Mus musculus: one gene and its partners. The protein of the gene in region 6 purifies or fractionates together with the protein of the main gene of each other region. This does not show direct contact. Links are inferred from orthologs where the notes say so. Each region holds a gene or a part of one and is shown on either strand. Other genes may lie near its edges.

The links.
Region 1: the proteins of Mrgbp (region 6) and Kat5 purify together in Homo sapiens (co-immunoprecipitation; 8 studies listed by BioGRID and IntAct, counting the BioPlex papers as one, with this or other methods). This does not show direct contact. The link is inferred for Mus musculus from reciprocal best matches to the Homo sapiens genes MRGBP and KAT5.
Region 2: the proteins of Mrgbp (region 6) and Trrap purify together in Homo sapiens (co-immunoprecipitation; 3 studies listed by BioGRID and IntAct, counting the BioPlex papers as one, with this or other methods). This does not show direct contact. The link is inferred for Mus musculus from reciprocal best matches to the Homo sapiens genes MRGBP and TRRAP.
Region 3: the proteins of Mrgbp (region 6) and Meaf6 purify together in Homo sapiens (co-immunoprecipitation; 4 studies listed by BioGRID and IntAct, counting the BioPlex papers as one, with this or other methods). This does not show direct contact. The link is inferred for Mus musculus from reciprocal best matches to the Homo sapiens genes MRGBP and MEAF6.
Region 4: the proteins of Mrgbp (region 6) and Brd8 purify together in Homo sapiens (affinity purification with mass spectrometry; 10 studies listed by BioGRID and IntAct, counting the BioPlex papers as one, with this or other methods). This does not show direct contact. The link is inferred for Mus musculus from reciprocal best matches to the Homo sapiens genes MRGBP and BRD8.
Region 5: the proteins of Mrgbp (region 6) and Mbtd1 purify together in Homo sapiens (affinity purification with mass spectrometry; 4 studies listed by BioGRID and IntAct, counting the BioPlex papers as one, with this or other methods). This does not show direct contact. The link is inferred for Mus musculus from reciprocal best matches to the Homo sapiens genes MRGBP and MBTD1.
Region 7: the proteins of Mrgbp (region 6) and Actl6a purify together in Homo sapiens (co-immunoprecipitation; 4 studies listed by BioGRID and IntAct, with this or other methods). This does not show direct contact. The link is inferred for Mus musculus from reciprocal best matches to the Homo sapiens genes MRGBP and ACTL6A.

The regions. Positions count from the first base shown.
Region 1 is NC_000085.6:5,607,292-5,611,782, forward strand, and holds the start of Kat5 (histone acetyltransferase KAT5), read right to left. Parts: upstream 2,804-4,491; 5' UTR 2,739-2,803; coding exon 2,727-2,738; coding exon of another isoform or gene 2,628-2,726; coding exon 2,561-2,627; intron 2,454-2,560; exon of another isoform or gene 2,241-2,453; coding exon 2,172-2,240; intron 2,082-2,171; coding exon 1,945-2,081; intron 1,694-1,944; coding exon of another isoform or gene 1,667-1,693; coding exon 1,511-1,666; intron 1,422-1,510; coding exon 1,347-1,421; intron 1,039-1,346; coding exon 964-1,038; intron 674-963; coding exon 425-673; intron 350-424; coding exon 260-349; intron 1-259. UniProt on the Homo sapiens protein: Catalytic subunit of the NuA4 histone acetyltransferase complex, a multiprotein complex involved in transcriptional activation of select genes principally by acetylation of nucleosomal histones H2A and H4.
Region 2 is NC_000071.6:144,857,919-144,860,356, forward strand, and holds the end of Trrap (transformation/transcription domain-associated protein), read left to right. Parts: intron 1-755; coding exon 756-1,040; 3' UTR 1,041-1,860; downstream 1,861-2,438. UniProt on the Homo sapiens protein: Adapter protein, which is found in various multiprotein chromatin complexes with histone acetyltransferase activity (HAT), which gives a specific tag for epigenetic transcription activation.
Region 3 is NC_000070.6:125,083,556-125,088,029, reverse strand, and holds the start of Meaf6 (chromatin modification-related protein MEAF6), read right to left. Parts: upstream 2,870-4,474; 5' UTR 2,854-2,869; coding exon 2,764-2,853; intron 1,886-2,763; coding exon 1,770-1,885; intron 1-1,769.
Region 4 is NC_000084.6:34,611,266-34,614,960, forward strand, and holds part of Brd8 (bromodomain-containing protein 8), read right to left. Parts: intron 3,533-3,695; coding exon 3,483-3,532; intron 3,306-3,482; coding exon 3,183-3,305; intron 2,032-3,182; coding exon 1,951-2,031; intron 1,837-1,950; coding exon 1,772-1,836; intron 1,766-1,771; exon of another isoform or gene 488-1,765; intron 226-487; exon of another isoform or gene 111-225; intron 4-110; coding exon 1-3. UniProt on the Homo sapiens protein: May act as a coactivator during transcriptional activation by hormone-activated nuclear receptors (NR). Isoform 2 stimulates transcriptional activation by AR/DHTR, ESR1/NR3A1, RXRA/NR2B1 and THRB/ERBA2.
Region 5 is NC_000077.6:93,884,649-93,889,009, forward strand, and holds the start of Mbtd1 (MBT domain-containing protein 1), read left to right. Parts: upstream 1-1,522; 5' UTR 1,523-1,747; coding exon of another isoform or gene 1,748-1,768; exon of another isoform or gene 1,769-2,425; intron 2,426-4,361. Other genes in the region: Utp18 (U3 small nucleolar RNA-associated protein 18 homolog), read right to left, coding at 686-1,009. UniProt on the Homo sapiens protein: Chromatin reader component of the NuA4 histone acetyltransferase complex, a multiprotein complex involved in transcriptional activation of select genes principally by acetylation of nucleosomal histones H4 and H2A.
Region 6 is NC_000068.7:180,579,654-180,584,071, reverse strand, and holds the start of Mrgbp (MRG/MORF4L-binding protein), read right to left. Parts: upstream 2,851-4,418; 5' UTR 2,535-2,850; exon of another isoform or gene 2,204-2,534; intron 1,462-2,203; 5' UTR 1,265-1,461; coding exon 1,117-1,264; intron 672-1,116; coding exon 550-671; intron 1-549.
Region 7 is NC_000069.6:32,707,076-32,711,389, reverse strand, and holds the start of Actl6a (actin-like protein 6A), read right to left. Parts: upstream 2,845-4,314; 5' UTR 2,535-2,844; coding exon 2,510-2,534; intron 2,455-2,509; exon of another isoform or gene 2,048-2,454; intron 1-2,047.

The DNA of each region.
Region 1 (4,491 bases), on a different chromosome or scaffold from region 6:
CTGATGACAGCTTCCTGTGAACTGTGCTGAACCCCCTCTGTTACTGGAACCTGAGTAGCTGTCATGTCTGCTCTGCCGTGACAGTGACCTCTCAGGAAAGAAAATTTCTCTAAATCCCAGTTTTCTGTACATTCCCTGCTCCGTGTCAAGAATTCAATAAAAACAGTGACCTGCTCATAGGCAGAATGGTCAACTGTTCTGAGCAGGAAAAGGTTGTTCATGTGACTCACTCCAGCCCAGCCGTGCCCAAGCCACTAACCTTGTTTTTCCGTCCATCAATCTCAAAAAAGGAGATGGTGCCCTTGCGGTAAATTTCATTGCCTGGAGGGTGCCGAAGATCACATTTGGTCTAAGGACAAAAGGAGGATCAGGTGGGGACTGGTGAGGGTACTCTGGATAGGCAGCCTCCCAAGACCCCTCATACCAAGTGGCGTTGCAGACACTTGAGGCTACGGCCATATTTGAGGCAAAATTCGCACAGGTAGAGGACGGGTAGCGTGGTAAGCTCTTGTGGGTACGGGGAGAAGTACCACGGCTTGAGGCGGTGCCGGCCAAGCTCAATACACTCAATGTTCTTCATCCGGGTGACAATGTCGTCGTGGCTCCGGTCAGACACCAGACTGCCAGTCATTCGTGGTGCTGACGGTATTCCATCTGAGCTGTCCTGAGAATCCTGCCCAAGGCAGATGGCAAATACTAGATGGTAGCAGTTAAGCAGAGCGTGGCGCACGACACTGCCATTGGCTTCTTCCTGCAAGTCTAACATCAGCTAAGGGCAAAGCACCAACCTCCACTTCCAAAATAAAGCGAGGCTGAGAAACTGAGAGTAGAAGAGGCCCAGGGGTTCATCTGCTTGGCTCCCAGCCACCACCCTCCCTGCCTAAGGCCTCACCGAGTGAACACCATGCCCAAGCCCACTCCCCCTTTCCCGGCTTCCCTCTCCCTCTGCTCCTCAAGACCCACCTCATCAGTGCCCAAGCAATTAGATTTCCGCTTCCGTCCAGGCTGGGCTGCCACTGCCCTACGGGCTGACCCATTCTGTGGACAAGACACAAGAGAAAGAGCGACCGTGAGATGATCCTGGAGGAGGATGCTAGACAGCAAGGAATAAGAGGGGAAAGACCAGGCAGGCTGTTGGGATGGCTCAGTGGTTAAGAGCCCTGATCTTCCAGAGGACTTCCTGGGTTCTTTTCCCAGGACCCACAGAGTGGCTCACAACCATCTCTAACTCCAGTTTCAGTGGCTCCAATGCCCTCTTCTGCCCACCTGCACCAGGCATGCAAGTAGAACACATGCAAAACACAGACAAAACATTCAGACACATGAAAAAAGACTGGAAGACTCACCTGAGGGAAAACCGAGGCTGGGGCTGTCTCGCTGGGCACTGGGGTTGCTGGTGAAACCACCTCCACCTTCCGTTTCTGCAGAGAGAAACCAGGAAAGGTGGGTCAGAAGGTAGAGAAGGTGGGACCTGAGAAGAAAGCAAGGTCCCTGGAATTGCTGAGGGTACCGTTGAGCGGTGGTTGGGTTGCAGGCAGGAGCTGGAGGAGAGCGGCTGGTCAGGCTCGCCACCTGGGATGGCCTCCCGCTCCTTGGGCAGGTTGAAGCGGAGTGTGATCTGGACCGGGATTGGCAAGGTCTTCCCGCTGGCCTGGGCGGAGGCCGGCTGCAGAGATAGGTCCAGGGTCTTCCTCTGGGGTGGGGATGGTGGTGGGATGGCGAAGGGGGGGATGGGCCCCTCAGCATGGAATCCCACCCTCTGCCTTCTCTAAAGCAAGGCAGTGCTGGACTCTGGAAGCTACGCCTGCAACTTGGTCCCCATCCTTTGCAAGCTGAAGCCATGGCAGAAGAATGCTGCCTCCTGCCCATTCAGGAACCCCTGAGGCCAAGAGATGCAAGAAGGAAGAGGCAGGAGAGAAAAGATGAAATGGGGGACCTACTCACCACCTCTCTTTCGGGAGAGCCGGGGCGGGACCCAGGAAGTCCGTTCTTGGTAGGTGTCTTGGCCTCTTTCTTGGGAAATTGGATCTTCTTTAAGTCCAGCCGCTCGTGAGTCACCCATTCATCCAGACGTTTGTTGACTGCAGCAGTGAAAACGGCTCAGGAGGGAATGCCAGAGGCTGCCCTCAACCCTCTCCAGCAACCCCACTCCATCCAGGCCCAGGACTCACAGTCAATGTAATGGACATAGAAAAGCTTTCGGCCACTGATGTCCTTCACGCTCAGGATCTCAGCCAGGGCTATGAGAACCACACAGACAGGGAGTCTTAGCCAGGGCAGGTCAGGAGACTCCACCCTTCGACCTGAATCCCACCTCCAGGCTGGAGGCCTGTGTCCCAGCACTCAGAGGGGCTGGTTCAAGACCCCTTTAGTCACCAAGTGACACCTCTCTCCAAGCCCCGCCCGGATCATCTCCGTACGTCCAAAAGCCACGCCCCTCCTCCCGAGTATCTGCGACCGCCCCGGGATTGCAGAAGCCCCTCCCCCTCCCGTGCGATCGTTGACTCCCTCCCGCCCCTCGCCCTCAGGTTCCTTGGACCCGCCCCCCGACGTCACTCACGCCACTCATCTTCGTTGTCCTGGTTGCGCCGCAGCACGGGCAGGCGGCAGCCCTCGATTATCTCCCCCTGGGGAGACAGCGCGGCGCCAGGGTCGGCTACTGGGGGGCCTCGGGCTCTACCCACCTCCCCTGGCTCCCTCCGCCCCGCCCCGGGCACCGGACTCACCACCTCCGCCATCTTCCCTCCCTCCACTGCCACTTCCGGCCCCTCTGGGAGACGTCACTTCCGGAGCTGAGTGCGCTATAGGCCCGAGCCCCTTGAAGCTGTTTGAAAGGGAAACACTTGAGAATCACTGCTAGCTGGTTGGTAGCAAAAAGCCGGCCCGTTTGGGGAATGGAAGAGCAGGACGTTGTAAACCTGAGGCCAAGTACTAGATGGAATCCCCGCTCCTCGCACAGCGATTGGAGGAACGCCGAGTCTGTCACGTGACGCCCACCGGGTGCGACGCCGGTCACTCAGATCATGTTTAGGCTTTGTCTAGAGGCAGTGTTCTGGCGAGCCTCTTAGTGGCAGTGTGAGGTGTCACCCTGAGTAAGAAGCTAAGGAGTGGGGTTTTGAACCCTGGGGAGTCAGTAGACCTGAAGGGATTTAGAGATCCACCCAGGTGTCTGCATAAGATTGCACAGGCCTGGGGGCTTAGCAAGATTTTTCCGTTAATACTGGATTTCTATTTTTAAAATAGTATATATGTGGCTGTATACATGGAAGGTTCAAAATTCCAGTAGGCATTCAGTCAACAAGAATGGATGTCTCAGTTGGTCTTCATTATACATCAGAATCCCAAAGAAGTAGGCGCTAATGACAGTGAAGGAGCGGACTTGTCAACGAGAGTGAGAGCAAGTAGGCAGAGTAAAAGCAGGCTGGCAGTGGAGGCAGAAGCAGGCGAAGCTCTATGAGTTGAGGCCAGCGTTGTCTACAGAGTCAGTTCCAGGACAAGCGGGGTTACACAGATAAGCCCTGTCCTGGGGGTGGCAGGGAGGAAAATCTTGTTTCATGTCTTTCTTTTAGTTTCCAGCAGAAGGTGCATCTTCTGACTTTGAATAACAAGAATAGGTTTGAATAACAAAGGTGTGTTCTCCCTCCTCAAAGATGTGAATTCAAAGTGGATCTTCCACCAAGCCAGCTTGCCAGCACTGGGGAGGCAGAGGCAGGCCTGGTCTACAGAGCAAGTTCCAAGACACCCAGGGCTACACTGAGAAATCCTCTTAAAAACACAAAGCAGTGGGTTTTCCCACTTCAGAGTAGGCAAAATTGTTCACGTATGTGTTCTTCCATTTTTGGGTTTTAGTGAAATCCAGATGTAGTCAAATGGACAACCAAAAATAACTATCACAGATATTGATAACATGCCTAAAGGGTGTAGTGGGGCCCTTTAGCCTTACTTCTAAGTGTTCCCAGTTTAAATGGTTTCGGGTCCATTTGGCCACTTTGAGAAGAGTTTATGTGCAGAAGTAAAGGATTGGTTTCATCACAGGAGCATTAATAATAACACTTGGATTTGATCTGTGTGCAAAATATGTTCAGCATAAGAAGTACTGAAAAGCCAATAGGCCTTTTGTTATTGTTTGTTCTGAGGTGAAGTCTCACTGTGTAGCCCTGCTTGGCCTGGGACTTGTCACAAGGATGACAACAGGCATATGACAGCACACGGCATTTTTCTCTCTTGTGAGTTCTGAGTTGTGCCATCTTTCAGAACATCCAGTCTTCCCCTGAGGAACTGAAGCATCACCACTGTTACTCACAACAGCCTCACAGGGGTGGAGCCATTGCTGCTTCCTTGCTTTGGCTCCGTGAGGCTTTTTTTTTTTTAATTTATGTATTTTATTTTATTTATTTATGTCTGTTCACCTGAGTATGTCATGCACCCATTACACACAGTGCCTGTGAAGGCCAGAAGGAGGCATTGTGGGTGCTGGGAACTGAACACTTT
Region 2 (2,438 bases), on a different chromosome or scaffold from region 6:
CTAACTTATGTGGGCAGTGGGCACATAGGTGATATACAGAAAGGTTCTCCAGAAACATCCATATGCAAAAAATAAAATTAATCTAAAATATTTAAAAATCAATAAATAACTGATGAGCAGGCAAATAGCAAGGGTATTCGAGGTAAAGTGCGGGTATGGGGCGGGGCGCATGCTGGGAGTGTCAGGAGGAGGAGTTGGTTCCTAAGGGTGGGACAGAGGTGGGGTTTTGTTTTGATTGACAGTCTTGAGTTTTATAAGCGTAGGTTGACTGCTCACAAATGCCAGATGGTAAATAGGGCATTTCTTCTCCTGGCTGTTAATTCAGAGGACAGTTTGTCTTACTGTACATACATCTAAAACCAGTCTAATCCAGACCAGATCGGCCTAGTGTCCCTAATTCCCCAGATATGTTCCGGGACGGTTTACCACAGAGTGAGAGTTTCCAGGGTTGTTGGGGAGCTGTGTGTGTAGCTCAAGCCAAGCTGGGGCTGCATTTATTTGTCCTCCACTCACTGCCTTACCACGATGCCTTCAGCACCTCTGCCCTGAGCACAGTGAGAGGACACAGCATTGAAGCCTGCCGACGCTGGTGTCCTCACTGGGCCCAGGACACCGGCTACGTTTCAGTGGCTTCTCATCTGATGCTCCTGACATTGTACCAGAGAGCAGAGCTTTGTGCAGTCCCTAGGTCTGGCCTGGCCCTGACGGCTCAGCACCTCCGGTGACACAGCTATCTCGCCCTCTCCTCTGCGCAGGTGGACGGCGTTCTGAAAACTGTGCTCCGGGATGAGATCATTGCTTGGCACAAAAAGACACAGGAGGACACTTCCTCTCCACTGTCGGCCGCAGGGCAGCCTGAGAACATGGACAGCCAGCAGCTGGTTTCCTTAGTTCAGAAAGCCGTCACTGCCATCATGACCCGCCTGCACAACTTGGCCCAATTCGATGGTGGGGAGAGCAAGGTGAACACCCTGGTGGCCGCTGCCAACAGCCTGGACAACCTCTGTCGCATGGACCCTGCCTGGCATCCATGGCTGTGACCTCGGTGACCACCCTACCCAGAATGTGAAATGTGCCTCTCAGCCTCTGAGCCCCTGGCTGTTGAGACCTCTCTCTGCCTTGTTCCCCACTTTATTCAGTTACCTTCCCAGTAGTTTGTGTGTGGAAGAGCATGAGATTAGTCCTGGAGGGAGCCCCTGCACACAGTAGGCCAGGCCGTTGGCGATGGCAGAGCTGAACTCAGCAGCTTCCGAGATGCCTTTTAACTTGAGGAGCCCTGAACTGGGACTCCCTGTGTACTCCTGTCTCAGTGTGAAGTGCAGACTGAGAACGTCCCCTCCATCCCCCAACTTCCAGAAACTACACCTCAGAGTGGCTGCTCACTGTCATACCGGGTCTAGGGAATCCACAGTGTTAGAGAAGCAGGAAGCAGGATCAGTTCGACAGGCGTGCATCTCTGAGCACAGATCTCACTCTGTCACTGGTGTGGACATCTCGCCAAGTCTGATGATGAGGCTCAGCGAGCCCAGGGCCTGCAGGGGAAGCTGCTCCAGGCCTCATCAGTCAGATCCGATGCAGCTGTGCAGAACGAAGCTGTGAGGCCAGCGGGCCAGCCTTTCTCTTTTTACTGCCGGCTTGTTGGATATCTTTTAGAGATTTACTATCATTGTACCAGAAAGAAGAAAAAAAAAAGACAAAATCATTTTGTTTTTCCTTCCTAATTTAAAAAGAAAGCAGTGAAAGTTTGTCCCCTTTAGATGGTTATGTTGACATTTTTATAAATCTGAGCATTGAGAATGTTCTAGCTAAATTTGTACAGTGTGGTTTTTTTTTTTTTAGAATAAATATTTTATAAAAGTATTTGCTGTGCCCTATTTTTGTGTTAGCGTCTGTGTCCGTGTGGCGCCTCTTCCAGTTCAGCACCTGCTGGCCCCTCCTGGACAGAGTAGGGTGTGGCTTTCAGATGATGGTGCTGGCTGCCTGTGAAGGTGTGGTGGCCCACGGTCACAGGTCGGTGAGGTCTTGGCTCCCAGGGTCAGAAGCAGACCAGCCCATGTAAAGCCTCGGTGATGGGAACGGCCGTCCTGCCTTGGCGGTGAGCACAACCCTCTTCGTCCTACTGACTAAGCATGTATGAGGAGCCTGTGGGAGGCGAGGCTGGCCCAGTGTCTATGTCTTAACCCTGGGAAAACAGTGTGAATCAAAGTACAGGTGGATCTGAGACGTTGTAAACGTGTGACTGTGACATCGGCCTGACACAGGATGTGGAGCTCCGTCTAAGCCTAAAGGAAGTGTGCCTTTGGCAGGTACCAACCTTCTACAGGGCTCGCCACAGCTGCTTACACACAGCATGGATCACAACCCCTTCTTGGCCCTGGCGTCTCATCTGCTTCCCCCTTGTCCCTAGCTTGCATCTCCTGAGGCTAAGCTTACTCTAG
Region 3 (4,474 bases), on a different chromosome or scaffold from region 6:
GGGGCCAACCAAGGGAATCTGAAGGAATCCGTGTTAATGTTTAAGCTATAAGCATCCGAGTTATATGCAGAGATGCCTTGCTCTTCTCAGGAAGTAACTGATAATATATTTAGAGGCAGAGATTCGTGGTGTAAGCGCCTAACTCTTCAATGGTTAGCAGGGAGAGAAAGCACGGGCAAACAGCAATGTAACCACAGAGGAGGAGCAGGGAGGAGACCCTGTGACGGCGGAATGGGTCTGCATCTTTATACACACACTAATCAGAGGGCAGCTTTCCACCAGTGGCCCTTGCTTTCTACCTTGTTGAGACAGAGGCAATCTGGTTATTTGGACAGCACTACATAGTTCAGGCTGTCCTGCAAACTTCCCAAGTGAGCGATTCTCCTGTCCCCAAATCCCACCACATATGCTAAAATTCCAGACGTGCATTTACACATGTGTGTTAAATGGCAGGGGTGGGGGTGGGGGTGGGGGATGGTCCAAAAGTTCAGTAGACAGAGTCTAATCCCCTGGGGCTCCGTTACAGGTAGCTGTAAGGCACCTAACAGTGATGCTGGGAGTCGAACTCCTGTCCTCTGCCAGAGCAGTGTGTGCTCTTAACTGCTGAGCCATCTCTCCTGTTGCCAGTTGTGCCTTTTAACACAGGTTCTGGGAACTGAGCTCCGGTCATCAGGCTTGTACACCAAGCGCCTTTACTCACCGAGCAATATCTCCTGGGCCTGGTTTCACATCCTGTAGTTATACACATACGTTAAAATGCCATACCCACCCCCACCCCCACCCCCACACAGCCAATCTTGATTTCCTGATTTTGATGATACTCTATAGTTACGTAAAACGTAACCATCAGAGAAAACTACGTAAGCACACACAAGCCATGTCTATTGTTTGTACAGCTTTCTATCGCCATCTGTAAATTATTTCCAAACAAAAGGTTCTTAAGCACACAGAGAAGTTTTCGTACTTCAGAGAGAGCATGCACCCACAGTGAGTTAGCAACTCATGAATACATGGGAAAAACACTAACTGGTCATGCACATTCTCATCTCAGTTTTCCTACAGATTTGAAAAATTCCTCACAAGCGTAGGCATTTTTATACAATCGCATGACTGAGCTGACAGTGGTAACAATGAACTTGGAGGTAGAACAAAGATCGTAATGGCACAGCGTGGCTGATGAAAATGTGGAAGACAGTTCGGTCACAGGCTGTACTTCACTTACACCCACACATCCCTGCACCATGGGCCCTATTTTCTTTCATCACAAATACTGGCTTCCCCAAGGTTTCTCCGTGAGCCGTCAGAGTACAAGTTCAAGCTTAGACCCCATTCCACACTACGGCTCTACCATCTCCTTGCAGAGTAAATGCCAAAAGCAAATGTCCCAAGCTGGACATGACAGTCCATACCTTTAAATCTATCAGTCAGAAGTCAGAGGGAGAAAGAGCTATGTGATCTGTGAATCCGAGGCCAGCCTGCTTTACTTAGTGAGTTCCAGGCTAACCAGGGCTACATAGTAAGACCATGTTTTAAATCAAAACAAAAATCCTGCAGCCAAATATTAGTAGAGGATAAAATGGAGAGATACTATTAGATTTTTTTTTCTTCCAGACAGGGTTTCTCTGTATAGCCCTGGCTGTCCTGGAACTTACTCTGTTGACCAGGCTGGCCTCGAACTCAGAAATCTACCTGCCTCTGCTTCCCAAGTGCTGGGATTAAAGGCGTGCACCACCAGTGCTCAGCTAATACTACTAGATTTTGACACTCACTTTTGATTGGTCAAATACCGATCCCAGCCACGGATAATATTGCCATACATCTGAGTGTCTTCCAGGTAGCTTCCTTCAAAAGCATATATCTGTCTCTCCAAGTTTGCAAGTGTTTCCTAGGTGATGAAAACAGGGACAGGGAAAAACAAGCATTAAGCAAACTGAAATTCCGTCACAGACTTGTAAAGTCAAGCTTACCCACAATGAACCATTTCTGTGGAAGTGTAGGGGTGATGGACCCCTTTATAAATAGAATGAAATGTATAGTCTATCCTCAGAAAATGCACACACATGCAAGATTTTGCATCTACTTCAGAGGCAAAACCTAGCTGTCACGAGCAGGGATGAGACAGACCGTGAGCTGTCTCCATTCTCACTCACTAAATGTGTTGCTACCAGCAGCGAGAAGGGTGAACAGCTTTTCAAAAGCATCTCTTCTACATCAACTGCTTCCTCCCTGCTAGCTCTGGAAGGGCCGCCCGCAGTGGATGCCGGTTGCTATGGAAACCTGGAAGGGCAGCTTCAGGTGAGCTTTGCCTCCCGGATGCTCGCCGTAAAAGGCGGGAGCCTACAGGGCAGTCAGCAGGGTGCCGGCGGCTCCTGGTGCGCGTCACCAATCCAAATTCCCTAGGCTGCGTCTTGGGTCTCCCGCCAGCCCCGTTCCTTGGCATCCTCAAATACACCACATTCCCCGGCCATTGAAACGCGCCGCCCATGGAATCCATCGTGCATCTTCTCCAGGCCGGGGTCTAGCCGCCTCCTTTCCAACCGCTAACCCGACCTGAGCGTCGTCCCCGCCTCCTGCCTCTCGCCCTTCCCGCGCCCTCACCGCCCCGCCCCGCCCCACTGAGCGCAGGCCGGGAACCGCGCCGCCGCAGGGAACCGCGCCGCGCCCGGCCGCCCAGAGCGCCCAGACCCTGGCTGCCCGCCGTCCTCGCCTCCGGAGCTGCCTGCGAGGCCAAGTGGGGACGGCGTCCAGGCCTCGGCCACTCACCGCCAGCTCCTGCTTCCGCTTAACCAGCTCGGCCAGCTCCCGCCGGGTGTCTGGGATCTGCGGCGGCGCCGTCTTGTTGTGCATCGCCATGTTGGGCTCAAGCGGCGGCGGAGGCGGCGGCGCGCGACCAGTAGGCGGACCCTGCGCACTGTCGCCGCTGGCCGCCAGGGGGCGCGACCCCCCACACCGCGCCTGCGCGCGCGGCTTCCGGGGAAGCTGGCCGGCTCAGCGCGCGAAAGCCGGCGCGGAGAGGCGCTTGTACGTGTGGGACCTTCCTTGCTGCTCCACTGTGGGCCTCTGAGCTTAACAGACACCCACAGACATTCACTACATCGAGAACCCAGCTGCAGCATAGGCCTGTTGAGTATTCCATATGTCTCCCGGCAGACGAGGTCCTTGCAACACCACCCAACTGCAGGTGGAAAACCTGAGCAAGGTTCCGCCCACCAACCGGGTTGCAGAGAAGATCCCCAAACCAACATCTTGCTGGGTTTAGCACAGGCAAGCAGATCTCCTGTTGTACGTGGTTTGCCGGAGGGGAAGGATTATGAAAGAATTAGCTTCTATCTTCAGATCCAGAACTGTATCCAGGCTGGTATTGAACAGAAACAGACCGTGAGTTTATCGTCCTGCCTCTGCCTTCCCACTGCTGGGATTCCATGTGTTGAGCATGCCCGCTGTTAATAGGTGCTGGGGATGGATCTCAGGACAGACGAAGCAAGCACTCTACAGGTACACCCTGAGCCCACCTCTGCATTCTCAGTGCTCAGCAACGTCACTCGTAGTTTAGGTGGCGTTCTTTGCCCCCATGGGTGGATGTCCTTGGGTTTCTATGCCCTAGATGTATATTGTTCAACAGGTATGAGAAATTCTCAATTTTCTAAAACTCCTCTTGCCTAATTTTCTCTCTCACAAACCTCTTCACTAATCTCTTGTTCCTCTCCAGTAGTACATGCCTATAATTCTAGCACCCAAGAGGCCGCGGTAAAAGAAGCAGGAAGGTCAAGGTACTACATAGTATTTGGGCCAGTAAGACTATATAAGACAGTTTCACCACCACCCCCCAAAAAAGAAAGTCAAGGCTGTAGATGAAACTCAGTTGGTAAAATATCTGCCTAAGCCCAAGCTTGCACAAATCCCTGAATTTGAGTCTAGCATCTCTTCCTTTCCTGCCAGCCTGGCCCACAGAAGAACCTCCCAGGGCCAGGCATGGTGGCACATGTCTTTATTCCCAGCACTCAGGGGACTCGAAGACAGACAGGACAGCTGTTTTGAGGGGGAAAAAATCAAGATGAGCCTCAACTACACAGAGAATTTGAGGCTAGCCTAGGCTCAAAAAAATAACAATCAGACCTTGGAAATTTTCTTTTTATGTCTATGAGTGTTTTGCCTGCATGTATGTCTCTGTACCATATGCATGCAATTCCCAAGAAGACCAGAAGACATCAGATCCTCCTGGGACTGGAGGAATAGTTGTAAGCTGCCATGTGGGTGCTGGAGATTGAACCAGGGTCCTGGGGGAGAGCTCTGATCCATCCTCTCTCCAGCTTTTCCCCCTGCCCCGTTTTAATGACTGAGTCCCAATTTGAGATGCCCATATATTTATAGGTGTGAGATCATCCAATGGAAAGTGATCAACCTACCAGGGCCCACACCTTAAAGCTGACTCTTCCCCCACAGGAGTCACCCACTGTTGATAGCTTCTTAGCTA
Region 4 (3,695 bases), on a different chromosome or scaffold from region 6:
GCGCTACAACAGAAGCAACAGACGAAATCTTCAGGGTTAAATAAGTGAAACCAGCCACTGTTATACCCTGAAGCAGAGATTAGAAATTTTATTATTACTTTTTAGTTTAGTTTTTCAAACTCAGGGCGATTCTCACATTAAACAAATTAACTACTTAACTACTTCAAAGGTCCTTGCTGTAGCACATGGTTTACATCTCAACATCTTCTGCAGCAACTTAAGAATCTGCTTTTAGAAAGAGGAGAAGGCCTCACTGATTCTCACCATGTAGTCTGTCTTACAGTTGCTAACACCCATGTTTCCCTCCTACCTCACCACCCAAGATGAACTCTTGATCATTTGCAATTAACTCTTCATCCCATCCTCCTTTGGATTCCAATTCCAAACTCTGGGATTATAGGAAGGGGTGGGTGTGGGTGTGGGTGGTGTCTCTCACAATGTAGTCCTAGCTGGCCTGAAACCCACTATGCAAACTTGACTGACTCACAGAGATCTTCCTGCCTCAGCCTTCCGAACGCTAGCAATAACGACGTACACCTCCGCACTTGGCTCACTTCACGGCTGACCTTTTTTATTGGCCTCTGAGCTCTAGAGCCTTAATTAAGGTTAATAAGATGGTTCTTGCTGTGATGATCTAAGGTCAATTTCTGGGACCCATCTGGTGAGAGGAGAGAATGGACTTTCACAGCTTGTTCTTTGGTCTATACAGACCCACCACGTGACACGTATCTGTGCCTCCACTTCCAAACAAACAAATGTAAAAAAAAAAAAAAAAAATTGAAGGAAAAAAAAAACCTGGGTGGTGGTGGGGCACACCTTTAATCCCAGCACAAGAAATGCAGAGGCTCATTTGAGTTGGAGATCAGCCTGGTCTACAAAGTGACTGCCAGGGCTACACAGAGAAACCCTATCTTGGGGGTAGGGGTGGGAGTACTCAAAAATAAATATATGAAGAGAATAAAAATAAATAAATAAAACCTTAAATTATGTTCAGTCTGCCATTATCAAGCTTGTGAGTCCTACAAGTAAATTGGAGACCTAGGGAGTACGAAAGACCTCATTTTTCGAAGTATTTCTTCTTGAACATAAAGGATGGTTTATTCTGTTAGAAAAAGAGATAACAGGAATGATTCTTTCTCTGTAGTTGTTTGTTATGCTAGAGACTAAGACTCATGCATGCTAAGCAAGGGTTTACCCAGACACCTTATTTTATGAGACTGCTATGCATACGCACACAATAAATCTTTACATTTTTCCTGTTCACTGCCAGTTTGCTCCAGAGATTCAAAATCACTCAAACTTTAGAGAGAAGAGGAAAAGTTGTAACTGCCTTGCCTTACAGTTTAGCAGATCAGTCAGGAGCCTAAGACACTGGGCTTGATCCATGGTCTACGACTGGGAAATCATGGGACATGACAAAAATTAGTAAATGGGAAATACAAAAGATGAAAGAACTCTGATAGGGGTAGGCGCCGATCCTTGTGAAAGCTTGTTTATTTATTGCTACCTGGAGGCCTAATTTTAGCAGGCATGTACAAGGCCCTCAGCTCAATCCTTAGCAGAAAAACAAAAAGAATAATGTTTTGAGGGGAAAAAAAGAAGGGGAGGAACATGATAAACGCTGCAAGTCAACAAAACCAGTGGACTGTACATTAGAAAACAAGTGACAGCTAACTCTCCATAGAGCAGTGGTCATCACACTCCTCTAACGCTGTCATTAGCACACAGAACCACATGGTCAATGCTAACAGAAGCACTAAACTCAGCTCACCCTGGTACGCAGCATCGGTGGCCTTCCTTTTTACTTCAGCCTCTTCCTCTTCCAATTTCTTTTTCCTAAAAAAGGAAAAGAATTGAGCTACATCAGCCAGCTCGAGCTCCTCTCCATAGTTCACAACACACTCATAAAAAAGTATTCTGACACACTGGCAGAGCACAAATGGAACCTACATTGCAATGTCATTGCAGAGCTCATCCAGTCTGCTGTCCATGTGCCCGGCTTGGATTAGTTCTGCATCTCTTTTCAGACGCCTATAGAAACAAAGAGGCAGACATCAGTCCTCTTCACAGTAAGTTTCTGGGTTATTGAGACAGGGCCCTCCTCTAGTTGGGCTCAAACTTAATGAAAATTTTCTGTTTTGGTCTGCCAAATGTTGGGATTACAGGCATGAGCTACCATACTCTTTTTTTTTGTTTGTTTGTTTTTCAAGACAGGGTTCTCTGTGTAGCCCTGGGTGTCCTGGAACTCACTGTGTAGACCAGGCCTCGAACTCAGAAATCCACCTGCCTCTGCCCCCCAAGTGCTGGGATTAAAGGTGTGCGCCACCACACCCAGCGCTACCATAATCTTTTATTACTTTATTAGTGTGTGTGTGTGTGTGTGTGTGTGTGTGTGTGTGTGTGTGTACAAGTACAGGTGGACACATTTCACAGCACATGAGGTCACAGGCCATCTCCTACCACCTGGGTCCCTTCCATCTCTGCCACTGAGTTGTCTAATCACCACCTACTATAAACCACATTTAGAGCTTTTTACTTGTGGTCTCAAGTTACCGTTTCATTTCAAACTCCTGAGTAGCTGCTGTAGACATACCATGCATGCATCCAGCATTTTAACTACATTCCCCACCTTCCCTCCTTCCCTCCCTTCTTTCCTTTCCTCCCTCCCTCCCTCTCTTCTCCTCCTCCCCTTCTTTGTTTTTTTTTAGGATTTATTTATTATATGTAAGTACACTGTAGCTGTCTTCAGACACCCCAGAAGAGATTCAGTTATCATTACAGATGGTTGTGAGCCACCATGTGGTTGCTGGGATTTGAACTCAGGGCCTTTGGAAGAGCAGTTGGTGCTCTTAACCACTGAGCCATCTCTCCAGCCCTCTTTTTTGTATTTTAAAAACAAGTTTCTCTGTGTAGCCCTGACTGTCCTAGAACTCACTGAGGACCAGGCTAGTTTTGAACTTAAGAGATCTGCCTGCCTCTGCCTCCTAGGTGCTAGGATTAAAAGGGTTAAAAGGGCCACCAGAGGGTGATGGACTCTAGCTTAGTTTACAGACAGAGTTCAGGCCAGCCCAGGACTATACAGTGAGACCCTGTCACTCATAAACACCAACTTAATCTTGTATGTACCAGAAGTCAGCTTTTTATGTCTGTCCAATGCCCCTCCCAAATCACCTGATAACTACCTGTATCTCTCCTGTGTCTCCTTTATGACTTTCTTCAGTTCTTCAACTCTCTCAGCAGTCAGTTTGCGAACAATAACATCTTCAACAGTTTCTACCACTTCTCCTTTTTCACCCCGTTTCCGTCTGTGGAAAACAAAAAATAAATCCAAATTTAAGTAAGAGGACATTTGTTTCCACTTGTATTCTTTGAGCCTTTCTACCATGTAATCATAACATCTGCTATACTTTTCTCACCCAGTAAGATATATTTCCACAGTGAACCCTTCCTGACCAAACAGATGTACCTGGGTTTATACTCACTTTGGAGTCTCAGTAGTCTCTAAGAGCTCAGAATACTGAGAAGCACAATGCTATAAAAGAAAGAAAGAAAGAAAAATGTGATAAGCAAGCTCGGAAACAAACTTTCAGAGTTTCAACAAAGAGTAATAAGTCTCAGTGAGGATATCTATTCACGATTGTGTCGTTAGCTGGCCGTGGTGGGAAGCAGAGGCAAAGGATCTCTGAGTTTAAGGT
Region 5 (4,361 bases), on a different chromosome or scaffold from region 6:
ATCTTGCTTTTTTACCACTACTAACACAAGTTCCAAGAGGGGTTCTTGTGGGATTCCTCCACTGCTGTGTCTCTACCCTTAGTCCAGGGACCAGGTATAGAACAAAAATAATAGCGCAAAGAGCATCAATCAGGAAGGATTTGCAATTGTTACAAGAGCTAGCAACCAAAGAAAGGTTAGAGATGAATACACACTGATCGTTCTCAAAAGCTGGGCGTGGGTATCACCCCGCGATGTTATTAAAATGCAGCTTTACGCCTTCTGCCCACGTATTGGTTCCATCCACTACGCGGAGTCGCGACAGGTGATCAAACGGTCACCCCTGTGGTTCCAGCAGAGGGTGTAAGAGCCCGAAGATGAGCGACTCTACTTTGCAGACATCCTTTGGCAAACCAAGCCGACAGTTGAGCGCCTGCTGGATGCGAAGCGCCGCAGCCCCTTTGGGGCGGAGAAAGGCAGCGTCCCCGCCCTCGCCAGCCAGCAGCCCAGAACCCGAGGCGAAAGAGCCGGACGGCGCCCCTCGGCGCCCGCGGTCGCCGGTCCCTCCCACCTGAGCACTCGCCGCCACAGGTCCCCCCCACCTCCAGGCTCCGCCCCCGGGGCCTCGCCTCCCGCCGCGCGCCCCGCCAGAGCGTGTGCCCGCTCGGCAGGCAGGCAGGCGGGCAGGCAGGCAGGCCTTCCTCACCCGCGAGCTCCGCAGCCGCTGCAGCAGCGCGTCCTCGTCGTCCTCGACATCGCCGAAGACGAGCTGCTCCAGGCAACGCTCGGCGGCCGGCTTATCGTCCTCTAGCGTCAGGCGGTTCCGCTGCCGGAGCCGGCTCTCCTCCTCCTCTGCCGCCGCCGCCGCGGATCCCGCGCTAGGGGCCGCCCTCGGCTCGGCCGGCTGTGTCCGTTGGGATGAACGGGCGGCCTTTGCGGGCGTGCTGCCGCTCCCGGGTCTGGCTTTCCTCCCCGGCGTTGCGCCGGCTCTCCGGTCTCGTCTCGTCCGGCTCTTGCGTTCGGGCGGCATCCTCAGGGCTGAGGGGAAAACGCCGACGTTCACGTGGAGTACCACTGCGCATGTGCCGGGGCGGCTCGCTCTTCTCCTCGGCCCGGCCCCGGGGAGCCGGAAGGAGTCTGCGCCGCCGCAAGCCACGTGACCGGCGCTCGCGCGCTACGTCACTCCCACTCCGTCCGGCGGCCCCGCCCCATGTGGGAGTTCCTCAGGGAAGGCCGATCTTCCGGGTGGAGGGGGAAGCGGCGTGACTGGAGTGGAAATTTTTCCCAACACAACTTCTCGGAGGCAACATATTGGAAGGGACTCGGGGAGGCCGGAGTCCAAATGGAAGTGGCTGAAAGAAACTTCTCGCCCTGCTGATTCTGAGCCCCGCGTCGTGCCGCGCGCCCTCAATTACCTCATCGACTTGTGGTCTTGGTACGGTCCTTAGAGTACGGCGCCTGCCGAGGGTCCCACGCTGGAGGGGAGAGAGGAGGGTACGTGGGGGAAGTGGGCCAATCGGGGCGCGGGTCACGGCGCAGGCGCGCTGGGGAGGGAGGGCTATGCTAATGTTGTTGATATCCTGGGGCCACCCGAGTTAAAAGGGGGGAAATCCGGGGGCTGCCACTGCTGTCGCTGGCCCTGGCCCAGCCGGGGGTCCCCCCTGTAGTCGCCGCAGTCCCGGGGAGAGGCACCGGCCCCCTGCTCGCGGGGGGGGAGGGGGCGCCGCGGGCTCGGGGAGCACGGACGGCCCCTACCCATGAGGCCCTGATGGAAAACACAAAGGATCTGGTGAGAGCCGAGCGCAGCGGCCGCTTTGTGTGCCAGGTTTGAGGGGGGGGGGCACGCCTGCGGCTGCCCGGCCCCCGGAACGCCGCAGCTCGGGGACCCCACTCGCGGGCCTGCTTCTTCATCCCACGCCCCCTCCGTCTCCGGAGCTCCCCTCCCCCTACTGGCCGTTAAACGTTCAGGGGTTCCCCTCCCCCCCTCAACCCCTGACTTAGGGTTCTCTTAGGGAGAAAAAAAAACATAAGAAAGTTTTTCCTCTGCTCCCTCCCAACCCCGTTCTGCTTGAAGGGAAAGATTAGATAGGAGACTTTGCCTTTTTTAGCTGCCAAGGGTGGGAGAGTGGTTTCTCGGGGGTGTGGGGGCAGGAGCATACAGAGTTTCGGGGCTTGGCTGGAGACGGAGCCCACCATTGTAGAGCCAGCGCCGAGAGGCATTTTGCACGTGGAGGTGCTGATACTGAAAGGGGGCGGGGTGGGCACGTGTGGGAGGGAGACGTAGGAGTGGTATCGGGGAGTCAGCCGCCAAGGCTGCTACTTGAGGGTTCCAAGTCAGTGGGCTTCCACCATCCGTACGTTCTCCTTTGTGAAAAAGAAATCCTGACATTTCAGAGTCGGAAGAGACACTAGAAGTCACCCAAAGCAGCCCAGCTTCTGACGAGTGGTAGGTAGTCTGACCTCTACTTAACCCTACATCCATATACCACGCACTGCAGCCTAGGAAAGCACCTTCGGTTTCTTTCAGTCTCTGATATTCACTTGCCTGCCCTTATTAGACCCTTCAGTCTCATTCATGTCGTGTCCTGGTTAAGTTGCTCCCTTTTTTACTTCTCAAATTTGTTCTCACATCCTCCTCACCCACCCACTGCTCATTGGCCTATATTTTGTATGCCAGGAAAGAACATCAGGGAAGTGGAGGGAGGGGGATGGGGAGAGTAAAGAGATGGTAAGGGCCAACTGAAAACTTTGCTGGGTCGGTATCAAGTGTGCTGCTTCCATGACTAAAGATGGTTGAAACTATTCCCTGGGAAGCCAGGGAACTGCTATGTGGGGGTTTCATGACTGTTTCACAAGTAGTCCTCTTTGCGATGAGGACATTTTTAACACCATATCCTTGGTACTGTCAATGTACATTATTTGCCTTTTGCTAAATCACTTTTTCTAAGAACGCGTAAAATTGGGCCTGGGGGAGGAATAGTACTGAAACTAATAAATACAATACTTGGAAGATACATGATCAAAACTATTCCTTCTCATCATTTTGACTCATGGTCTTTGCAAACCCATGCCCCCTCCAAAAGGAAGGCCCTTTCTCACAAATGCTTCTTGTAACGTTTATTTATTTATAGGATAGGATGCTGTTGGGGGGTGGGGGCGGGGGTGGGGGTGGGGGATCAGAGAACAGGTGGAGGTAGTCATCTTAACTTATGCCATGTGCGAACCAGGAATCAAACCCAGGTCATCAAGATTGGGAGCAGACACCTTTAACCTACTAAGAACTTGCTCGAACCTGCCTGTCTTCCCCTACCCCCACCCCACCCCTCATGTGTGTAAGTGTAAGAATTCTTAGACTTGAAATGTTTGTTACAATTTATTGTTTACTTTTGACTTTTTAATCTTTTTTTTTAATTTATTTATTATATGTAAGTACACTGTAGCTGTCTTTAGACACACCAGAAGAGGGCGTCAGATCTCTTTACGGATGGTTGTGAGCCACCATGTGGTTGCTGGGATTTGAACTCCAGACCTTTGGAAGAGCAGTCGGGTGCTCTTATCCACTGAGCCATCTCAACAGCCCGACTTTTTAATCTTTTACCCCTTACATTAATATGCACCAGAACTTAGCACTTAGTAGTTAACTTGCAAATATATATTGGCACCCACTGCTGTGCTTAACTCCCAGGAGTTGCTCCTGATACTGGTAAAGAAAAGCAAGCGTCTTCCTGTTCCCCAGTCTGTGGTAGAGGCTGGTGGTTTGCTCTTGTGTGTTTCAGACTGTTTACCTCACACCAAGGAGTGTTTAGAAAGAAAATAGCTGGCTTTTTGCACTGTCTCCTCTGAATAACAAATAGCTTCTATTTATATGGAAGCCCATATTGAAGTATTGCAAATGCCTTGCAGATTAGAGCAGATGCTGTCGCAAATAAGTGACTGTTCTTAATGTCTCTGGTGAGCCAGGGTTTCTAGCCATTTTCTTTCAGGGCTATTCACTAGTGTTTTAGCATGGATTTGAATCCTAGCTGTAAAAACTTAGAGCTATTTACGCACCAAAGTTTCAGTCAGTATCGCCTTCCAAAGTTTTTTCCTGCTAACTTTAAGCATGAACTGTCATGATAAAATTTGACTTTAAAAGCATTTGCATGCTAAACATACTAGACAGGAACAACTGGTTTTATTTTTAAAGAGGTCATTACTCTGTTTTTTATGGTTAGCTATACATGGATCTCATTATCTGTCTTCCAAGATATTTGGGTGTTTCCCTCATCCCTTAGTTACTTTTGTAAATAAAGACAAAGCAAATTATTTTAAATTGTGTTAAAATACAGCATTCAGACTCAGAATTGCAGTTTATGAGTAAAAACAGCATGTTAATGTCATAG
Region 6 (4,418 bases):
AGCTCTACCCATCCTGGTCACCTGGTCTCACTGCCTACCAGACAAGACAGACAAACCTGACTAGCAAGGTTACTAGTTACCTGCAGAACCATCAGCCACTGCCAGCTCTCCAAACCAGTTACCTAGCTACCCATCAAGACACAGCTATCTCTAGGCTCTCTGAAGAGGAGGAGTCTGGCTCCCACAGTATACAGACTCTCAAACGACTCTGGACCCTCCTATACTGACGCTGTACCATTACTGCTTTTTACGGTGGCTGAAGGCTTCTTTGTCATCTCAGACCTCAACTATCACCTCGACGATTTTTGTGCCACCCAATCTAAAGTAGGTAGGTGCCCTGAAAAAGTAGTCAGAGATCATCGCTAGTCTGTGCTTTTCACAACAGGACTTAAGCTTTTCTGAGGAAGGAGCCTCATCCTTTGAGATCACCTCTGCTCTGCATACCAAACCCCAAGTGAGAAGAGGGTTCTGTCCTGTACCACAGCTGACAGGATCTGGGACTTGACTCCACGGTCAGCCCGTAAATGGGCAGGCCAGGATCCAACTCACCAGTGCCTGCATGTCGTACATAGTGCTCAGATGGTCCCAGATCACCTTGGATGGAACCTGGCGCCCAATATTCTGGCTGAACTTGTCTCGGATACAAATCATGTGGAAGTGCCGATTCACCCCTGAGAGGTAGGACAGTGGGTTGAGGGTTAGGACAGCACCTCTGTGCGTAGGACATGGGTGAAGAAGGAGGGGCAGGAGTGGGCAAACCCGCAGGTGCAAGTGTTGCAGGAGTCACATGTCAAAGGGGAAGAGAGGTGCCACAAGGCAGGTGGGTGTTCCAGGGGCTAGGGTGTGTATAGTAGGCGGGTCCAAGGACAGGGGGCTGCAGAGGTGGGGGGGTGGGGGGGAATGGAGGCGTTCCCTGGGGTAGGAGTGTCTCAAGGGCAGGGAAGTCAGGAGTGTCCCCAGGGAGAGGGCTTCTCGGGCAGGAAAGTCATAGGCTCTTAGACTAGTAGGGCACCCCAGAGTGGGAGGCCACGTCCCGTGGGAGGTCGCAGGCTCCGCCAGCCCGCCCGACGGTTTATCCCGCCCCACCCCCACGCCGGTGCGCGGCGCGGCGCTCACCGACAGGCTTGTGGCCCAGCATGGCGTGGAAGAGGCACACTTCCACCTCAGGGCTCCACACCACCGTCTCCTCAGCAGGGCTCGGGGCTGCCTCGCCTGGGCCCTTGTCGCCTGGGGCGCCCGTGCCGCCCACCTCGGCCTCCCCCATGGCCGCCGGCGATTGACGAGCGCCCGGCGCGAGAAGGGGGAAAATACTACAGGCTCCGCGCAGGCGCACTTGGTGTGGAGGGCGCGCACTCGCCGGGCTGGAGAACGCCGCGTGCCCGCGTCCGCGCAGGCGCAGCGAAGACTGGCTTCCGGTGCAGCAGCGACTCCTGGTGGTTGAACCTTTTACTGCCTACGGCTCTGTCCGGAGAAGGCGAGGGAACAAACCTTATGCTTTAAAAATGCACCAGATGGGCGTGGTGACACACTCCTGTAATTCTAGCTCTCGGGAGAGAGAGGCAGGAGTTCTGAGTCAGCCAAGTCTGCATAGCATGACACACACGGCCCAAAAATCTGGGCTTCACCTGGTTAGGTAATTTGGAAAAGAACTCAGCTAGAAGTGAAGGTGTGTCTCTCCTTGCCAGAGATAAATTGTACAATATGTAAATTACATCTCACTAAAACTGTTTAAGAAAAATAGTTTAAACAACAACAGCAGCAACAACAATAACAACAACAACATCCCATGGGCTAGTGAGATGGCCCATCTAATAGAGATCCTTGTGCACAGCCCATAACTGGAACTCCACCCCTGGATCCTAGAGCTGGCAGGAGAGGAGCAATTCTTAGGAGTTGTACTCTAGAGCTGGAGACATGGCTCAGCGGTTAAGAGCACTGACTGCTCTACCAGAAGTCCTGAGTTCAATTCCCAGCAACCACATGGTGGCTCACAATCATCTGTAATGGGTTCTGATGCCCTCTTCTGGTGTGTCTGAAGATAGCTACAGCATAGTCATATAAATAAAATAAGTAAAAAAAAAAAAAAAAGTTGTATTCTAACCTCTATATGTATTCCATGGTATATGCACACTTGCACACACACACCATAAATAATTTAAAAATTTAAAGCCCAACAATCACATTTTGTAGGAGTGAAGCTCTGTATATCTTTCAGTAGCCCTGACCTGAGTGCACGACAGTCCCAGAATTAAGTGCTTCCTTGGCATCAGAAGACAGAAATCCAGGTCCTGTCGGCCTTGCTACCTACCTGTACCTCCATTCTGTCCCTACAGTGGATCCACTCCAGAAGTGGTTGGATGATTAACTCAGACTGTCAGAATTTCAGGCAGGTGTTAGTAGCTCTACATGGGATTGGATAGGGCCAAGGGCTGGGCACAGCAGCCTTAAGAACATGGTTGCTTCTGGGCCTGAGTCACCCCAGTCAGCTGTGCCATGGGTCCTACCCTGCCACCCATCCAGGTTTCATTACTTACCCATTCCTCAGCCATTGCCAGGCATCAGAATCCCTTTTCTGACTGATGCCTCTCAGACTAAGATGTTGAGAACCTTTGTTCTCCTTTGTGCTATGGGGCCACTGTAGCTCTGAACTCTTGGGTCTTGATAAGGATCACTTGCTGGCTGCCACAAGCCTTGAATCCAGTCCTGACACTCCACTTGCCCCTCATTCAGGCCTGTAACCAGACAATGCTCACAGCAGGGAACCATGGAGGGTGCTGGCTCTGACCTGTCTCATTGTCTGGGACAGCTCAGAGCTCAGAGCCAGACAGCAGTCTGTGGCCAGGCTTCAGCTTTCCCACTGTGAAAGCGTAGCTGGTGGAAAAGTTCCCACAATGCCACAGGGGAGGTGTGGCCCAATAAAGCTTCATAAGGGGGTGTGGGGTCACTGCTATCATGTGGATATGATGCAGCTGGGAGTTATGATCTCACAGGGGCGGTGCCCTTGCCTCTGCTTGGTTGGCATGCAGAACTTGGCTTAGTTACTGTACGGCTGGGTGAAGCATAATCTACCATCTGGGACATGTCATAAAGCAAGTTCCCAACCTAAGAGCTGCCACATATTAAGTGCCCAGGAGCTGATTGATAATATCCTGGTTATTCTCTGAATATCTAAGGCATGGTAGACTCTGCTGCTGACTGCTTCTGGTTCCGGTCCACCTTAGTCTCACCCCTACCAGGTAGGATACTCCTTCAATTTGGAGTGCGTCCTTCTTCAGGGAGCTTCCCTATGTAACCCTCAACCTCATCTATCCTAGCTGGTCCTCTCTGGTTTGTGCGATCTCTGTACTCAGACCACATCCTACCAGCCATGACATTTGCAAACATCCGTCTGTTACTTCAGAACGCGTGACTGGCAATATAGACTTGATGCCTATAGACAGGTTGGATGGTTTAGGAGAGAAGGATGACTTCATTCTTTCTCTCCACGAAGCCACAGCAGGTCTCTGCAGAACTCTCTGTTAGGTAGTAGGAAGTAGCTGAGCATCAAGGTCAGCAGCTAAGACCCCGCCTACTATCCCACGCTAACTTCTTATTTTCATGAACATGTAGGCTCTCTAGTCCAAAAGCATGAATTAAGAGGAAGCTGTGCTTGTTCGTTTTGTAGCGCTCCTGTGATTATCACTCTCTAACAAGGAGCTGTAGAGAAACCATTAGCCCATGATCATGTGTGTGATCCCGTAGCTTCAAAGTGAATTCACACCTGTTGGGAGCTGAGAGGTTCCTTCAAACCTGATAGAAGGATTTCTTTGGTCTGGAGCAGGTGTCTGTGTGGCACACCACCAACTTTCTGTAGAAATGGCTGGTGAAGTTTGCCCAGATTTGTCTTCTCCGTGAGGTCTTCAGGTGGTTCCAGGTGGCCAGGATATAATCAGCTTTGTAGCAAGACTCCTTACTTCCCAGATACAAAGTAGACAATGATATATATCTACTAGCCAACTGGTCAAGTCCTTTCTCATTTGTTGCGACTCCTGCTGCTTAAGTCTTTTATACAAGATAGATACAAGTGCTGGGATTCTTGATCCTAGTGTGAAGGGTTCAGACTGGGCTCAGGTGAGAAATAAAGGCCATAGAAATGCTCTCCTTCATTTAATGAATATACAAGCCTAATAGTTTATACACCAGTCTAGTTTACTTTGACCAGTGTGAACTATTCCCCAGACCATGTCTAGGTCTCAACCAACTGTTATTTCTTATTCAAGGTCTTATGTATCCCAGGTTGGCCTCAAACTCATTCTGTGGCCAAAGATTACCTTGAACTTCAGTCCCCATTCCTCTACCTCCTAAGTGCTAGGGTAGCAGATATCTGCTGGTATATATCCTGGGGATTGAACCCAGGGCTTCATACATGCCAGGGAAGA
Region 7 (4,314 bases), on a different chromosome or scaffold from region 6:
TGACAGCAGGTAGTAGTTTCCTTACTAAAGGAACTAATTATAAACTTCTATAGTCCAGGTACAGAAGGATGAACAAAGGACTGCCCTCATAATCCTTAAACTGAGGAAACAAGAAGAAACTGTTCCCAGAACCTAGAAGGTTTCTGCTGAGAGCTGTGGTAACAGCTGAATGATGCAGAGCTAAGCTGCCTATTCAGGGAGGGAGGGCCAAGCTCAGATTGCAATCCCAGGAAGACTCTATAATGCAGCATCCAAATTGGGGCATTTTAACTTGGGTGGGGAACACCAGCTTTTAACGATTATACTAAAACAAAAAGCACAGGCAAAAAGTATAGTTACCCTACCATCACCAAATCAAAGTTCAAAGCTGAAACCAGAGGCTGAGAAAGCCCAGAGGCCATCTCTACAGGCACAAGATGTGTATAAATGACAGCAAGGGAATCTGGTGGCACAAAACAAATCAAACAAACAAACAAAGGAAAGAAAAATAAAAACCACCGAATACATCCTAGTACAATTTCATCAATTATGGGGAATTATGTTTTGTTTCATGAAATGAAGAAACACAGCAAAATATGAAAACTGCACAGCATGGAAATTAGAGTGTAATTTATACAGGCCAAGTAAAAAGCATTTAATGAACGTATCATTTAAGTTACACATTCCAGACTTTAGGAGACAGTTTAGTGGTAAGAAAAAAGCTGGCAATCTTTTTCAGTCTAATTTAGAGAAAAGCCTCCATGTATATTTTCCAAATACTTCACCCCAAACAGCAGGCCTCCTAGGATAATGCACTTGGGTTTCTCAGTACTGGTTTTTCAATGGGGTCCCCCTCAAAATTTAAAACACTAATCCTACTTACCTACATTACTCAAATGCTAAGGCCTTAAAAGTTCTTCTGTTTCTCTAGTTAAAGCCAATCTATGCCCAATCTACCCAGTTTGGTGCTAGTTACAAAGAGGCACCCAAAGAGAATCACAGAGCTATTTAGTTTAGACATACCCAGTTTGGAGAAATTCCTAGTTTAAAAGGAGATGCATATGCAACTGTTTGAATGAAAATGTCTCCTATAGACGCTGATATTTAAACATCTGGGCCCCAGTTGGTGGTGCTGTTTATGGAGGTTTAGAAGATGTGGGCCTTGATGTAGGAAGCTGTCACTGGGGGACAGGCTTTGAGTTTAAAGCCCCCACTATTTCCAGCTGCTTCATGCTTGAGGTTGGACACGTGAGCCCAGATTCCTGCCCCACCATCATGCCTGCTGTTAGCTGCCATACCTCTCTCAAACTGGACTCTTACCTCTCTGGAATCATAAGCTAAAGTAAACTCTTTCTTCTAGAAGCTGATTTTGTTTTTTTGTTTCTTGGTTTTTTTTTTTTTTTTAATCACAGCAACTGAAAAATGACTAATACACTATGTGAGATGGGTAATTTACTAACTTCTCTGCTACAGTTTAATCCGAAAAATGTATTTAATACTTACCTCATAGGATAGGATGACTAAATGCCTTGAATGTTTTAATGTATAAAGCACTTACAGTGCTGACAAACAATAAGCCGATAAATATTAGCTAACGGTAATTATTACTGTCACACTTCTTGCCAGGGAAAAGACTACCGTTCCTAGAGAAACTACTATAGTTTATTCTCAGAAAACCCTACACAGCAGTTAAAATGAGTGGGCACAGATCTACTGACTCAATGCAGATATAGATTTGTTAGTGTGAGGATACTATTTAACTCTTGATGGGTGCGTGTTACCTGTACACGGCAGAGAAAGGAATACCCCTGCCTCATCCCAGAAGCAATTTGCTCCCAATTTACAACGAGTCTTTAAACTTTGAGCTGGTTGTTTAACTCTTGCCAATATTTTTTTCTTCGTTAACGTGAGGGATGGCAGCACCATCTCCTGTCAACATCCCCCCTAGAGGAGAGTCTCTAACTAGGTAACTACTCTTAAACAAAACAGTACTTAGAAGCCTTGTTTTCGTTATCGCCGATCTAGAAAAGGCTCCCGCCCAGCCGGACAGGAGAACTGCAGCCTGTACCTCAGGGATCCGCTCATCTGGGGACCGAGCACGCCTGGAACGATGTCCAGGCTGTAGTGGCTGCTGAAGGACCCAGAGCAGCAGCCGCAACACCGGGCGCCACTCGCACCCAGTGCCAACCCCGGGGGCCCGGAACCTCCGCGAGCTGCCCGGGACCAACGCGCGGCGGAACCGGTACAGTGAGGGACCCGGCGTGCCAGGGACTGCCATCAGAGCCCAGCCGGTAAGACGCGCCAAGGCCCTTCCTTGAGGCCATCTCGGAGCAGCGACGGGACAAGCCGGAAACCTATTGCGCGCCGGCCCGGGTCCGAAGAGAAGGAGAGGCCGTGGCCCATACGGGGACCGGAAGCACCGTCCAAAGACCGGAAGGGCCCGCCGAGGACCGGAGGGAAACGGAAGCGACTAGGGACCAGGCCGGTCGTTCCGGTCCGCACGCCCCGAGGCGCCGCTGCGCTCACTCACCTCCGCCGTACACGCCGCCGCTCATGGCTACTGTCTGGCGGGGACTGGCCGAAGACTACCGGACGAAAGATAACAGCGGCGTGACTCCTCTCCCTGAGAACGCCGGCCCCGCAAGCCTGCAACTTCCAACGCCGCCCCCTCCGGCAACAAAGCAGCGGCCGCACGCCCGCTGCACAGCCACTCTTGCTGGTTTCTCGTATCAACCAATGACAAAGGGTCCGGCTTAGTCATTAGCCAATCAGAGTGTGGCGCTGCTGCATCCCCGCGCGGTTTAGCCGTCTTAGCCAATGGAAGGCATCCGTAGGGGCAGGGAGAGGGAGAAGCGACAGAAGAAGGGAAGGTGTTGGGGTACGGGCAGGAGGGGGCGGAGCTTCGCGGGCGGGTGAGGTGGGTGGAGCTTCGCGAGCGGCCGGTAGGGTGGACCGAGCTTCCAGGAGCAAGGCGGGGGGAGTGGGTGGAGCTGTGCTTCGCGCGCGAATAGAGTAGGAGGAGTCTTAGGTGGGCGGGCGAGTGGGAGGGGCTTGGTGCAGGAGTGGGCCGGGTTTCGAGAGTGAGTTAATTAGGTACTGGGAATTAAGAGGCTTGCCTCAGGCCATCAACCGCTCTGGTTCTAAAGGATGGCTGCTCCCCAGGAGCCAAAGGAACTTGAGTGCAAGGAATCTGGAACTTGAGTTAGTTACCTGGGAGAGATCCCTGGCCTTTGATTGTGATGAATTCGGAATTTTTTTTTTTTTAAGCAGAAATACTTCAACTAACATTTATACTTGAAAAAGAAATGTGCACTTCACTTTGAATTAATCAGCAAATCAGATATAATAATAGGATCCATCATTTTAAACAATGGCTATTTATATTAAAAGACAGTACATTTTTCCAGCTAGATTTAGATAGCATTTAAAAATCATGACTTCAGTTTCTTTCATTTCTGTGAAAATCATTCACCAAGCAAGTGGAGCACTATTCAAGGAAGCACCCATTTGTAAATACCTCCCCAATCCGTGTCTACTGTTCTTAGTCTACATCTCTATCAGTGTCGCCCAGAACACTGTCTTTTCTTACCCCAAATTACTGCAACAATTTGTCCCTCTGCTTCTCTAGGCCTTAGATAGCCTGATCTATATAACCAAAGGCCCAAACCAGTCCTGCCATTCCAAAGCTCAAGTGTAATGTAGCTCTGTACCTGGTAGCAGTGCTTAAATTGAAGTGTCTAGGGTCTAGCTACATAGTGGCTACTTGTAACCTTAGGTGGGTTGAATAAACTCTCATCCATTTCCCTGCCATTAAGGTGGCAGGAATTGACCTGTCTGTCATAGGTTCAGGAATAACGCTAGTAAGAAAATGCTCTCCCGTTCACTTGACACTGTGTGCTGTGAGCTGACAGTGATGGTTTGGATTTGGGTTTTTTGAGAGAAAGTCTCACTGTGTAGGCCAGGCTAGTCTCCAAGTTGTAATCCTCCTGCCTCTGCCTCCTTGTACTGGAATTATAGGCACATGCCACCGTGTGTGTATTACTACATTTTAAATGATTCAAAAACAGTTTTAAGAATACTATGATACTCCCATGTCAGAAACCTTGTGCTGTGTTTTACTGGAGCATAGCCAAGCTTATTCACAGCTGTGCCTGAGGTGATGTGTCTGGTTAAGATGTAGAGCACATTACTGCCAAGTGACCTGTGGGAGGGGTTGCTTACTTCTCAATGTATGCAACACCTAACACAGCCTGCCTCAGTGCTGTGTACTGTGGTCCCCATGATCAGTGCTCACTGCCGATCAGCACCCCAAAACAATTCTATTTCCAGTCATGT